Linked DNA regions of Tribolium castaneum. The protein of the gene in region 2 purifies or fractionates together with the protein of the main gene of each other region. This does not show direct contact. Links are inferred from orthologs where the notes say so. Each region holds a gene or a part of one and is shown on either strand. Other genes may lie near its edges. The genes, in order: Ada3, not and Sirt1.

Region 1 (3,226 bases), on a different chromosome or scaffold from region 2:
AGAAGAAGTTGAAGAACGTAAAGAATCGGTCGCTGTTTCCGAAAAAAAATTTCCGGAACAGTTGGCTGAAGACGAAAAAATTCCGCAATTTCCGGTTGAAGATGACCTTGTTTCGAAAAGTACGCGAATGTCATCAGCACCGAGTGAATCATTGAAGAAAGATGAAGAGGATTTGAAACAAGACACTTATCTTATGGAAGATTTGGCAAGACTTCGGGTAATTCACCGACTAGTCTACTAGGTTTTTCCCCGAAATAAATTCGGGTTTAGTCATTACAGGAAGCCATGATGGGTGAAAGTGACGACGAAGTTGAGAAATTCAAAGCTAGTATTTTAGCTGAAGCTGGTTTAACTCAATCACAAATTGATGCACCTGAACATTTTGAAACACGAATTGAGAGTGAAATTTTCACTAATGAGTCACTTAAAAGTTACGAAACGTCGACAAGTGAACCGTCCGTCAAGGAAAAAGCGCCAGAAGTAGAAAAAAAAAGTGGGAAATTTTTTTTTATAATTGTTTTAGATTGAGTATGAGGATGTGTTCGTGGATCCAGTTCCAGGAATCGGGCCGAAAGTCCCCGAAAATTTAATTTTGGCCGTTTGTAATTACATGAAAGATGTGGCCAAGTGGCAACATGACATGGTTATGCCGAGGAATATACGGCATTTTGATCGCCCGCCTTTAGAAATTCGAAATCAATAAAAATTTTGCACCGTTTTTTTTTTGATACATGGTACTGCCCAAATCTTAATCATATTTAATCACGTTTCAGTGCGTCCAGTAATCAATTAATAATTATTTGTGCCTCCAGGTGTATCTACTTGATTAGTAAATAAAGCCCTACGTTTCGGAAACACGTATTAAATTTTCCCCCTTTATGTTCGATTTAGTTTACAGTTTCCTGTAATTCAAGTGTCAATTTTTATGTATCGATTGTCAACAAACAACAAAATTGTGTGAAATTGGCTAAAATAACATTGATGATTAACATTTTGCATGTTCTTTGTGCCTAAAGCGTGATATGAACAACCCCAAACGCCACCTCATGTCAAAAAACGCCCCCCGAGGGGGCAAAGCGAAAGACGCCCCCTCGTCCTCCCGTCACGACTCCATCCCTCCTGACACCGAAAACTTCATAAACACCGTCCCTTTGATCCGTCAATGCGACAACACGAAGCTTTTGCCCCGTTTTTCATCCAGTAATCAACCCTAACCTAACGTTTTGCCCCTTTTGATTAATGAGCAAGTTTTTAGTTTTGGGGCGCACCGAAGACGATGGAGTGAACATGGACGACCTTGATCAACTTCAACTCGACCTTGAGAAGTTAATTTCGACGTGTGCTGTGCGTAACCGGTTTTTAAGGGGCGAAATCGAATCGATTGATCGAGTTGAGGAAAAAAGAGACAAAAAGGGCAAATCGTATGATAAAGGGGGGCTCAAACGGAAACGGCCCGATGATAAGGCCAAGTATCGTGATTTGAAAGGGGGCGCACGCCCCCTGAAACGTCATTATCCACTTCCGGTGGATGTGCCCTTGAGGCATGAAATGCCCAAAATTAATTTACCCAAGAATGATACTTCGGATAAGTTTTGGGCGACTGTGGAGCCCTATTGCGCCCCCGTTACGAATTCACACGCTACGGTTGATTGATTTTTTCAATTTTATAATTATGTATTAACAAAAAAAATTTTAGTTCCTCGATAAATTAATCGAGGAATGTTCGCAAGAAATTGATGTAAAAATACCCGATTTGGGCGAATATTACGCCAATGAGTGGTCAGATAATGCAACCGGAGTGGAACAAGAATTGGGGCTAACCTCTAAAACAGTTGGCCTTGATTTGAAAAAGAACGGTTTGAGTGCGTAAGTATTTTTTATCAAGTCATAAAGTTCAAAAAAATTTACAATCAATCAATAGAATGGTTGATTCATTTTCAAACCCGAAAACTCAACGCCTATTGGCCGCCTTGATTGAGGAGAAAGTGATGACGTCATTTCCGGGTGTTACTGGGAAACTCAAACGTAATAAAATCACATTTGTCGTAACTTCAAACTCATTTAATTCACTTTTAAAGCGTCCGATTTGAATATAATCAAGTCAGCTGGTGGTCCACGTGCTGCCATATGTATGGATCGCCGCCTTAAGAAAGATTTAGTCGAACAAGGATTATTAAGTGTTGAGGATTTATCTAAAACAATGCCCGACGATGAGATTTTACAAGAAATAAAAAAATGTCAACAAGAATTGACAGCTGTCAATGAGTATAATGTTGAGGAATTGAAACGTTTGAAAGCTATAGTTGTCAAAGATTTGAAACGGCAAGAAATCAAAGCAGCTCTGGATGTAGTAGATGGCGAAGTTTGTTGATTGGTGTTACCATGGTAACAAAATTAAAACACCTAAAATTTCAGGTTTTGGAAGTTTATAATAAGGTGTTAATGACCAAACAGAAGCAAATCCAGCAGGCCAAGGATGAAGATTTCGATAAAGCCGCCTTTACAAAAAGTTTGAAAGAATTTGAAGTGAAGACACATGTCTTGTTGGAAACGCAGTTTAAGTTTCAGAAAGCTTTGGCGGAATTGCAGGAATAAAAAAAACACCAGTTTTAAGTCTTACATTATTATTATTATTATTTTTGACACATTAATTTACAAATTAGTCTGGTATTTGGTGTTTAGAGTTGTTTTCTTTTTCCTCAATTGTCTAATTAACACTCCTAATTAAATAATTGAAAAACACCGATAAATCAATTTGTACTTGGGAGAGATATTCATCAAAAAATGCTTTTTTCGTTTCGTTTGGTTGGTAAAAAATCACTCTTTTGAATATTCAAATTGGCACCACTGGTGGTATATGAAACGAATGAGTCAATAGTGCCAACCTGACAATCACAATTGTGCGATGAGATGAACTTAACCTATAAAAAAAGTATATTGCGAACATGAATACTACCAACGGCTAAAATTGATTTTCCCTAAATATTTATATAAAAAACAAATCGTAATAAATATGACGCAACAGAACAACAACAAAAAAAATATATCGCTTAATCCTACAAAATTATCACATTTACATTCTATACAAATGATTATCATCATGGATTTTTTTGTCCTGAAATTTTGATTACTATTACATTGTGTCAACATACAAATTCAATACGCGATGTATCAACTCGTATTGTTCGGCTGTTTGTACCATGCCGCCTCGATTCAATCTCAGCGA
Region 2 (3,756 bases):
TTAAAAGTGAGGTTGTGTCAAACAAACATACTTTTTCGAAGTAGCAGAGCTTCGGAGGGGCCCCTTTCAGGTCCAAGTGGATTAATCTGGGGCAAATGGTTAATTGTGGGTCAGGGGGGTTTGTTCTTACCTTTGGGAACCTAGCGTTAAAGCGTCCATTTTTTAACCTCACATTTCACTTGTCAAAGTAAACAAATCAATTAAGGAGGGTGGAATAATAATAAAAAACGGCTATTGAGGTAAAATTTATTACATTTAGCACTTGATAAATTAATCGATGTCACAATAAAATAAATAAAATGTTTAAATTAGGTAAAATCGTTTAGTCGTAATCTAGGACATGCTTGTGGTAAAAGAGTAAATATCTGGAAGTAGAAAATTACGGGGTGTTTACACAACTTTTCGCCTTACCCTTCCGAGTCTAGAACCTCCTTGAGAGTGGCTCTTGTGATGACGTGATCGTCGCATTTGTACCAATAGTCTTGCAACTGTCTGACATAAGCGGTGTAATGACCCACGTTTATGGAGTTGCCAATGTGGTTAATGACGGCAAAGAGCGAGTATCTGTTATCAGAGGGAAAAGGCGAGTCTGTCTTAGACCTGCTCATAAACGGGGTCATATCTAGCATTTCAGGAAACGAAATCGTAGTAGAGATTTTCTTCTCCATCTGCGACGAAATGAGTGACTTTTGTTTGGATTTCGTGTGGGTTTTTACCTCGTTCATGTGCTGAAAGCGTTTTAAATGAAAACTGATAACAATCGGAAGCGTATTCATAGTCAATTGTTTCGTCGATTCCTGCTTTGATTGGCAATTCGAACACATGATTTTCGAATTTTCGCCTAAATGTTCGGCCCTTGTGAACCTCTCTAAACAATCGACAAGTGAGGTAGGTGGCCGTCCGCCAACCGTGACCGGACCCAAATCTAACGAAAAGTCCGAAATTGGATCAATTGTAGTAGAAACACCACTACCAATGCAACAAGTAAAACCACCGGCTCGCTTAAAAATCCCACTACTCACTTGCATTTCTGACAAACAACGTCACTTTGCAACCCCCCGGTAAAAATCTGGTCGATAATGCAGGGGCATCGCGAGTTTTTCCCCACATTCACCGGCTTTAAATCGGGCATTGTCTCGAGACAGTGCTGGTGGAGCACGTCCAGAGTCGCGATGAAAAATTCGTGGGCGTCTTGCTGCTCATAGCCGGCTAAGTGCCGGGCATGCGTCCAGATTAAATGCAAGAGCTCGTGGAGGGCCAAAGGGACGCGAGTTCCGTTATAAAACTCCTAAAAAAAATTACATTTAAATTAAACGAACTGAGAAAAAAGAATAAACATATTTAAAAAATCAAGAACAGTTTACATAATGTGTGTTATCACTGTTTTAGTTAGACTTTTTTGTAGGAAATTTAATTCTTCTTGATCTAAATCAAAAAATAAAATGTTTGCATTATTTTTTGTTCTACCCGCCTGCATTTTTGTTTGCGCCATCTGGCGCCACTAATGGAACTATCCAGGACGGGGACATTTGAGTACGTTTCGTATCCTAACTTATAGTAACCCGTAGCCTGGCCATATACGACCATACCTGGAAAAGCTTGGAGACCTCGCAAACGAGGCACCGTCCCGACATCCCCTTGCAGTTATGCTCCTCTGTGAGGAAGTAGTCGCGCAACAAGGGGGTGTGCATCAGTGCTTGCACTATACAATTCATGAAGCACGTCTGACCTAAATTAAGCAGCCCCCTTAGCCCGATCGTCGAATCGGGCGTAATACAAATCTTCTTCGTCTTGCTCCTCAAATAATCCCTCTCATCAGACGTAGGATTCCACGTGTCGATCTCAAACAGCCGTTTCTTGCAAGTCTTCGACTTCATTTTATTATCGTTCGCAATTGCGTCGATTTCGGAATCGTAGATGTAGTCATGGCATTGGTTGCAGTGCATCTGCCCGTAGGTCAGGTCCATGGACATGGAGTGTTTCTGGCTCTTGGCATGCTCCCGGATGTGCTTGTGGCATCCGAAAAAGACACACTCGAGGCAGGCATGCAGGAAGGGGCCCCGCTTTTTGCACACGCGACAGCGGCTGTTGCACAACTACAATTCCTCTAGTTAGTTTTAGCAAAGCGTGGCCGATTTTTACCTTGGTTTTGAGGCTCTTTGAGGTGGAGTTGACCACGAACACGGCGTGGATCCACTTGAAAGTGTTCTTGTTTTTGCTCGTTTTCTTGTAAGACTGCAAGTGTTGACACCCAACTATGCTCATTTTTTTCGAAAAACGCGGCTTTGTGTGGGATTTATTGCCCATCAACGAGGTTGCCAACGAGATACAGTCGTGGCCTCAAACTATTGGCCCCAAGCCCCGATTTTTACAAAACTAAACGATTGTTTCCATTCACACAATAAAAAGTTTAAAAAATTGGTAAAAATTGTACACAAATCACGATATGACACTGGTGTCCACCTTTGGACAACAGACTGAGATTTACGGCCACATGCCCACAAGCACGATTCGAGAAACGGTGATCATTTTAATACAACAATGAAACGATTGCTGTGGCTTTCGGGTGATTCCCACAACCCGAAAATGTTATTTTGGGTCGATAAGTTTCACGCAATAATTTAATAAATCAATTTTAGGCCATGTCTCCAGTCGAGCGTCAAGTGGTGGCAATAACAGCCAACATGACGCCCACAAAGTGATACTCTAACACAGTTTTGGGTAATAATAGCCCCTTAATGATCACAAAAATGGAATTAGAATTAAAAAATAGTTGGAGTTTAATTCATGACTTGACCCGTGCCTATTTGGCAATCAACTCCGGCAAAGATTATTTTTTCCTAAGGTTGGCAAAGGTATAGTCAGCTGATAACGCACCATTTTAAAAATAAAGCGCCCGCGCTAATCCCCGACATCCTCCATTGCGTCGTATCTCCACGTCCGCATGCAAATAAGCGAGAGCACCCGAAGGCGTACGTCTGCAAAATCTGACGTTTCCGTACACCTGCCACGATGGCTTCTCCGCCGAATGATAAAAACACAGCAAAAAACGAGGTTTCCGTAAATGTAGACATAACGAAAACAAACATGCAAACTCCAACTAGCAAAAACGTAAGTTTGGCCACAATTTCCAGCCCGGTTTTTATCCGGTGTTTCAGAACCAGTTGGGCGAAATCGCAATCGAAGCGTCCGAAATTGTTAGTAGGTTAGAGCAGGTTGCCGAAGGGACAAGCCTGGCCGATGCGGCCTACAACCAGCCGACGGTGTTCCTGGGCCTGGAGCAGAAGCGCACCGAGGAAATCATCCAGATAATCCAGGGCTTGATCAGTGTGGATGAGGACGGGGAGCCGTTGAGTCTGCACAGTCTGGACAACGTGGCCAAGCTGGTGATGGTTTCGCACAGCATTGCGGCGTTTTGCAGCGGGCTGGAGCGCCCCGTCATGCAGAAGCTGAGCACGAGGTTCACCACGGACGCCACGCGCTGGATCAGCCAGATTTTCGGGTAAGAAATTGGGTGAACCCCCGGTATTAATAAAAAATTGAAGTTTTCTCGACTCGTCGTCGTTTTATCACGACGACCACCTCGAGGGGCTGGTCAGAGTGACCAGAATGATGCTACATTACAAGTACCCCCGGTATCTGGAAGACGGTGCTCTGGCCTTTACTGCCTCGCTCCCAACTATTTACAGCAGTGTGGCGAGTCCTTTGGTCGTAGTCCAGCACTTGTGTCGCCAGTTGGGGCTTCCCCTAGCCTGT
Region 3 (3,756 bases), on a different chromosome or scaffold from region 2:
ACATTTAAATTCACATGTCAACTGAGAAAAAAGCCGCTCTTCTAGAATGTCAAATTATACCTCCCATATTAAAATAATGATAATAAATCTAATTCCAAAAAACAATATGCAATAACCATTTTTTTCAAAAGGTTTTTAGGTAGAACACTTTGCAAAAGTTCAAAATTATGTTTTGCAGCTAAATTCTTCCGGCAATTGGTACAGATGTGATTTTGTTTTTTGACCAAATTTCGCAATAAATCATAACATTTCGGATACAGAAGATACACAAACCAAATTAAGGTTTCATGTGTAGATAACGTTAAAAAGAAATGGAATTTGGTGGGTTTTCTTGTCGCTGGGACTCAGTTTAACACAGATATCTTTCCTTATGCAGACTCTCAATTTGAACTTTATTTTACTCCAAAAAGCTCAAATGAGCTGTCCCTCACAGAACGCTTCATACTAAAAATTTGGCCAATTTAATTTTTTTATTGTAACAAGACCCTAAGCGCAAATTCAGTATAACTTACGTCGATTACCATAAAAAATACAGAATAATGGCAAAAACATCAGACTTTAGCTCTTGCAAATTACCTTCTTCCTAAGCTTGCCTCGTATGTGACATAACCTCTTAACGCCATCAAAGCACATTGCTTCCAGCCGTCCATTCCCCAACATTTTTGTGACTTGTGCATACTCCTGTCCATCTTCCTTGAAGACCAGCTCACGTTTTTCCGTTTCATTTTCGTTCTTACCCCTTCTACGGTTCTTACCTCCCTTTCCTGGAATGACATATTAAAACAAAACGTCACTATGTGAACTTGACATTAGCCACAAGGGGACACAATTTGCACATTTTGCCCACTTGTAGTCCACAACTTTTGGCAATTTTCGGGCCGTTTATTGCAAAATGTGCCCCAATAATTGTCAAAACGGAACGTGTGGTCGCGAGGTGTCGATATGTCGCAAATTGGCAACATACGCAGTTAGGGGCGCGGAGCAGTCTCACCTTTATTCTTCGGCATTGTGTGGGCGACTACACGGCGGTGTGGAAAAGGGCCGAAAAGTTTGCAAAAACGCCGAAATAATTTGTAATATTTCACAAGAAATTTGCTGTCTGTTATCTGGCGGTGCACAGACGACGCAAGGGATTGTGGGTAGGCGCTGGATGCGCGCGCAGGAATTCCTCCGGCACTGGCGACTCGATGCTCGAAAAGATTTTTATTCGTGTCAAAGATGGATACCTATCCTGACGTTGCTGAACACGAATCCAGTGCGAAACGAATTAAACTCGACCTAAGAGAGTCGAATATAGGTGAATTGTGCAATGGGGGCGATTTTTCTAGTTATTCCACATCAGCTGGCGGCCCGATTGACATCCCCGAAGGTAAAATTTCTAAAATATGTTTGCTTGTTTAGGGAAAATTTCTCATCCAATATGGCGACGAGAACAAAGGCGATTTAGCAGACATTTTGTAGGCGTGGTGCTAGGATCGAAATGACTGATGAACTTGTAAAATTTGCGGTTGATTCATTTTTGACTCAGAACGGGTGCTTGTCGTTCGTTTCGCTTCACATAGTCGTTTTTCTTTGTTAAGTTATATTTGAAAATATTAGAAATAAAATTTTAATGATTTTTTTAAATTTAGTGGTTTTATTTACCTTGTTTCAGTTGAGTTCTGTCAGGGTTATGTTTGGTGTATTTTTGGTGGTATTGTGCATAAAGCTTGTGGAAAATATTCCATTTCGGACAAAAACTATAAAAATAGTCGGAAAAAAAAGGTGGAATACTACTGACAGTTTACGACTGACTTGTTTGCAAAAGAGGTTAAGTTTATGTTTTTATGTCAAAACCGCGTGTTGCATGGAACATTTTCAAATCTGTTGATTAAATTATGGTGATAAATGGAAAATCTAAGGTAGCATCAATTCATCACGTGGGGGAATTCTTAAAGAACTTGTTTTTTTTTAGTGAGCATTTTTTTATATAAATTCACTCATGTTTTTTGTCTTAATTTTATATTCTTTGAATTTGAGAACTTGCCTTGAATGTAATAAAAATCAAATACGTTTTAGTTTTATCTTGATGTTTATAAAATTTCTGAATTTGACTGCTTCAGATCTGCTATTTTTTCTTAATTTTTAATGTATAGTCTAAGCTAAGAGGAGGGATGTTAATTAAAAAAAATGGTTTTAGGAAAAAAATAATTTTTATATCTAGTTTTTTTCCGAAATTTAGATTTAGGTAAGCTCTTCATAGTCTCATGAAATATTTTGTTTTACATTTGTTTTTTTGTACAATTTATTTATTGGTATTTTTATAAATTCAGGATTAGTCAGTGTTTAGGAATTTTTTTTCAGGTTTTTTTAAAAATAAACGTTTTTATTAAACAAGTTATTTGTGGTAATAAGTATAAAATCACATTTTAAAATATTTTAATTCGATTTTTCTAAAAAAAAAACAGATGAATGACATCAAGTGAAATAATTTTTTTTAATTCAGGATTTTTTTTATTTCTGTTAAAGTTAGAGCTCTAGTTTTTTTGTAATTTTTTAATTAGAATATAATAAAAATCAAATAGTTTTTTAGTTTCATCTTAATGTTTATAAAATTTCTGAATTTGATCTTCTATTTTTTCTTAATTTTTATTTTAAAATACTTCTTGCACTTGCACTCGAAGCTAAATTTCATTAGTGGTCAAATGTGAAGAGAAGAGATGTCAATTTGAAAAAAGGTGGTTTTTAGTGAAAAAATGAATTTTTGACTGATAGTTTTTTTCCCAAATTTAAATAGGAAAGCTCTTTGTAGTCTTATCAAACACCTTTGTTTTACATTTTTTTTTTTGAATAATTTATTGTGGCAAAATTATTCACCGTCTAATAAGTAAGAAATCACATTTTAAAATAATTTGACTCGATTTTTCTAAAAAAAGCAGTTTTTGACATTTTGCTTTAAGATCAGTTCACATCTTAAGGTCTGTGCAGTGTACACACTATCATATTATTATGCAATTTAATGCAAACAAAAAGGATGCAGTGTGAATTCTTCAAGAAAGTTTATCTTTTTTGAACGAAAGATGAGTGGAAAAGTGATTTGTATTAATTTTTTCTTCTCAAATATTTGAAATTTTTGGAGACAAATATAATAAAATTTATGATCTGGAAGTATTAATACGTAGTATCGCATGTATTGAAAAAAAAATCTACAGACTACAAATCGATTCAAATATTACAAATGATGTAATATATGCTAAAAGATTAAGTTAGGTATTGTTGGTAAAAATTTATGCTGGAAGGATGTAAAATTCTTTTAGAGAAAAACAAATAAAGCAATAATTTGTATTTCTAATTTATTGTTGTAATTCAGGGAATTTCTTCAGTTTAATTAGTTATTTTTAGACGTAAGTCGATGTGGGCAGAACCTTATTGAACATTTTTTCTTGGAAACTGCGAAATCGTGCAAAGGTAACACACCTATAATATCACCCCAAAAGAGACAGATTTATGGATTTATTGAAATTACAAAAAAAAAATCAATTTCAAAAAGCGTATTTCAAAATTCTCAAGACGCAGACTAAGTTAAAACTCTTGTAACATGAGATACTATGATAAACATTCGATAAGTAAAGTGTTGATACGATGGATCACCTGTGGGAGAGGAACTTCAACTTTAAAGTAGTGAAAAATCTACAAATATTGTGTCTGACCTGATCTTAGTGAATTAGAATTTATTTTTTTTTCCTAGAAAAATTACACGTTACCTATGTTTGTAAT

Evidence for each region.
Region 1: the proteins of not (region 2) and Ada3 purify together in Homo sapiens (affinity purification with mass spectrometry; 5 studies listed by BioGRID and IntAct, with this or other methods). This does not show direct contact. The link is inferred for Tribolium castaneum from reciprocal best matches to the Homo sapiens genes USP22 and TADA3.
Region 3: the proteins of not (region 2) and Sirt1 purify together in Homo sapiens (affinity purification with western blotting; 10 studies listed by BioGRID and IntAct, with this or other methods). This does not show direct contact. The link is inferred for Tribolium castaneum from reciprocal best matches to the Homo sapiens genes USP22 and SIRT1.

Annotation. Positions count from the first base shown.
Region 1 is NC_087401.1:17,517,713-17,520,938, forward strand, and holds Ada3 (transcriptional adapter 3), read left to right. Parts: upstream 1-868; 5' UTR 869-1,022; coding exon 1,023-1,200; intron 1,201-1,255; coding exon 1,256-1,644; intron 1,645-1,696; coding exon 1,697-1,866; intron 1,867-1,921; coding exon 1,922-2,025; intron 2,026-2,078; coding exon 2,079-2,362; intron 2,363-2,415; coding exon 2,416-2,595; 3' UTR 2,596-2,670; downstream 2,671-3,226. Other genes in the region: uncharacterized protein LOC103313297, read left to right, coding at 1-217, 271-480, 524-703; uncharacterized protein LOC656520, read right to left, coding at 3,134-3,226. UniProt on the Homo sapiens protein: Functions as a component of the PCAF complex. The PCAF complex is capable of efficiently acetylating histones in a nucleosomal context. The PCAF complex could be considered as the human version of the yeast SAGA complex.
Region 2 is NC_087399.1:1,665,699-1,669,454, forward strand, and holds not (ubiquitin carboxyl-terminal hydrolase nonstop), read right to left. Parts: upstream 2,650-3,756; 5' UTR 2,308-2,649; coding exon 2,143-2,307; intron 2,097-2,142; coding exon 1,590-2,096; intron 1,289-1,589; coding exon 1,023-1,288; intron 970-1,022; coding exon 412-969; intron 366-411; coding exon 323-365; 3' UTR 233-322; downstream 1-232. Other genes in the region: hexosaminidase D, read right to left, coding at 32-86, 131-159; pyridoxal-dependent decarboxylase domain-containing protein 1, read left to right, coding at 3,013-3,111, 3,159-3,502, 3,546-3,756. UniProt on the Homo sapiens protein: Deubiquitinase that plays a role in several cellular processes including transcriptional regulation, cell cycle progression or innate immunity.
Region 3 is NC_087394.1:11,915,781-11,919,536, forward strand, and holds the start of Sirt1 (NAD-dependent protein deacetylase sirtuin-1), read left to right. Parts: upstream 1-1,218; coding exon 1,219-1,369; intron 1,370-3,756. Other genes in the region: eIF1A (eukaryotic translation initiation factor 1A, X-chromosomal), read right to left, coding at 577-764, 992-1,007. UniProt on the Homo sapiens protein: NAD-dependent protein deacetylase that links transcriptional regulation directly to intracellular energetics and participates in the coordination of several separated cellular functions such as cell cycle, response to DNA damage, metabolism, apoptosis and autophagy.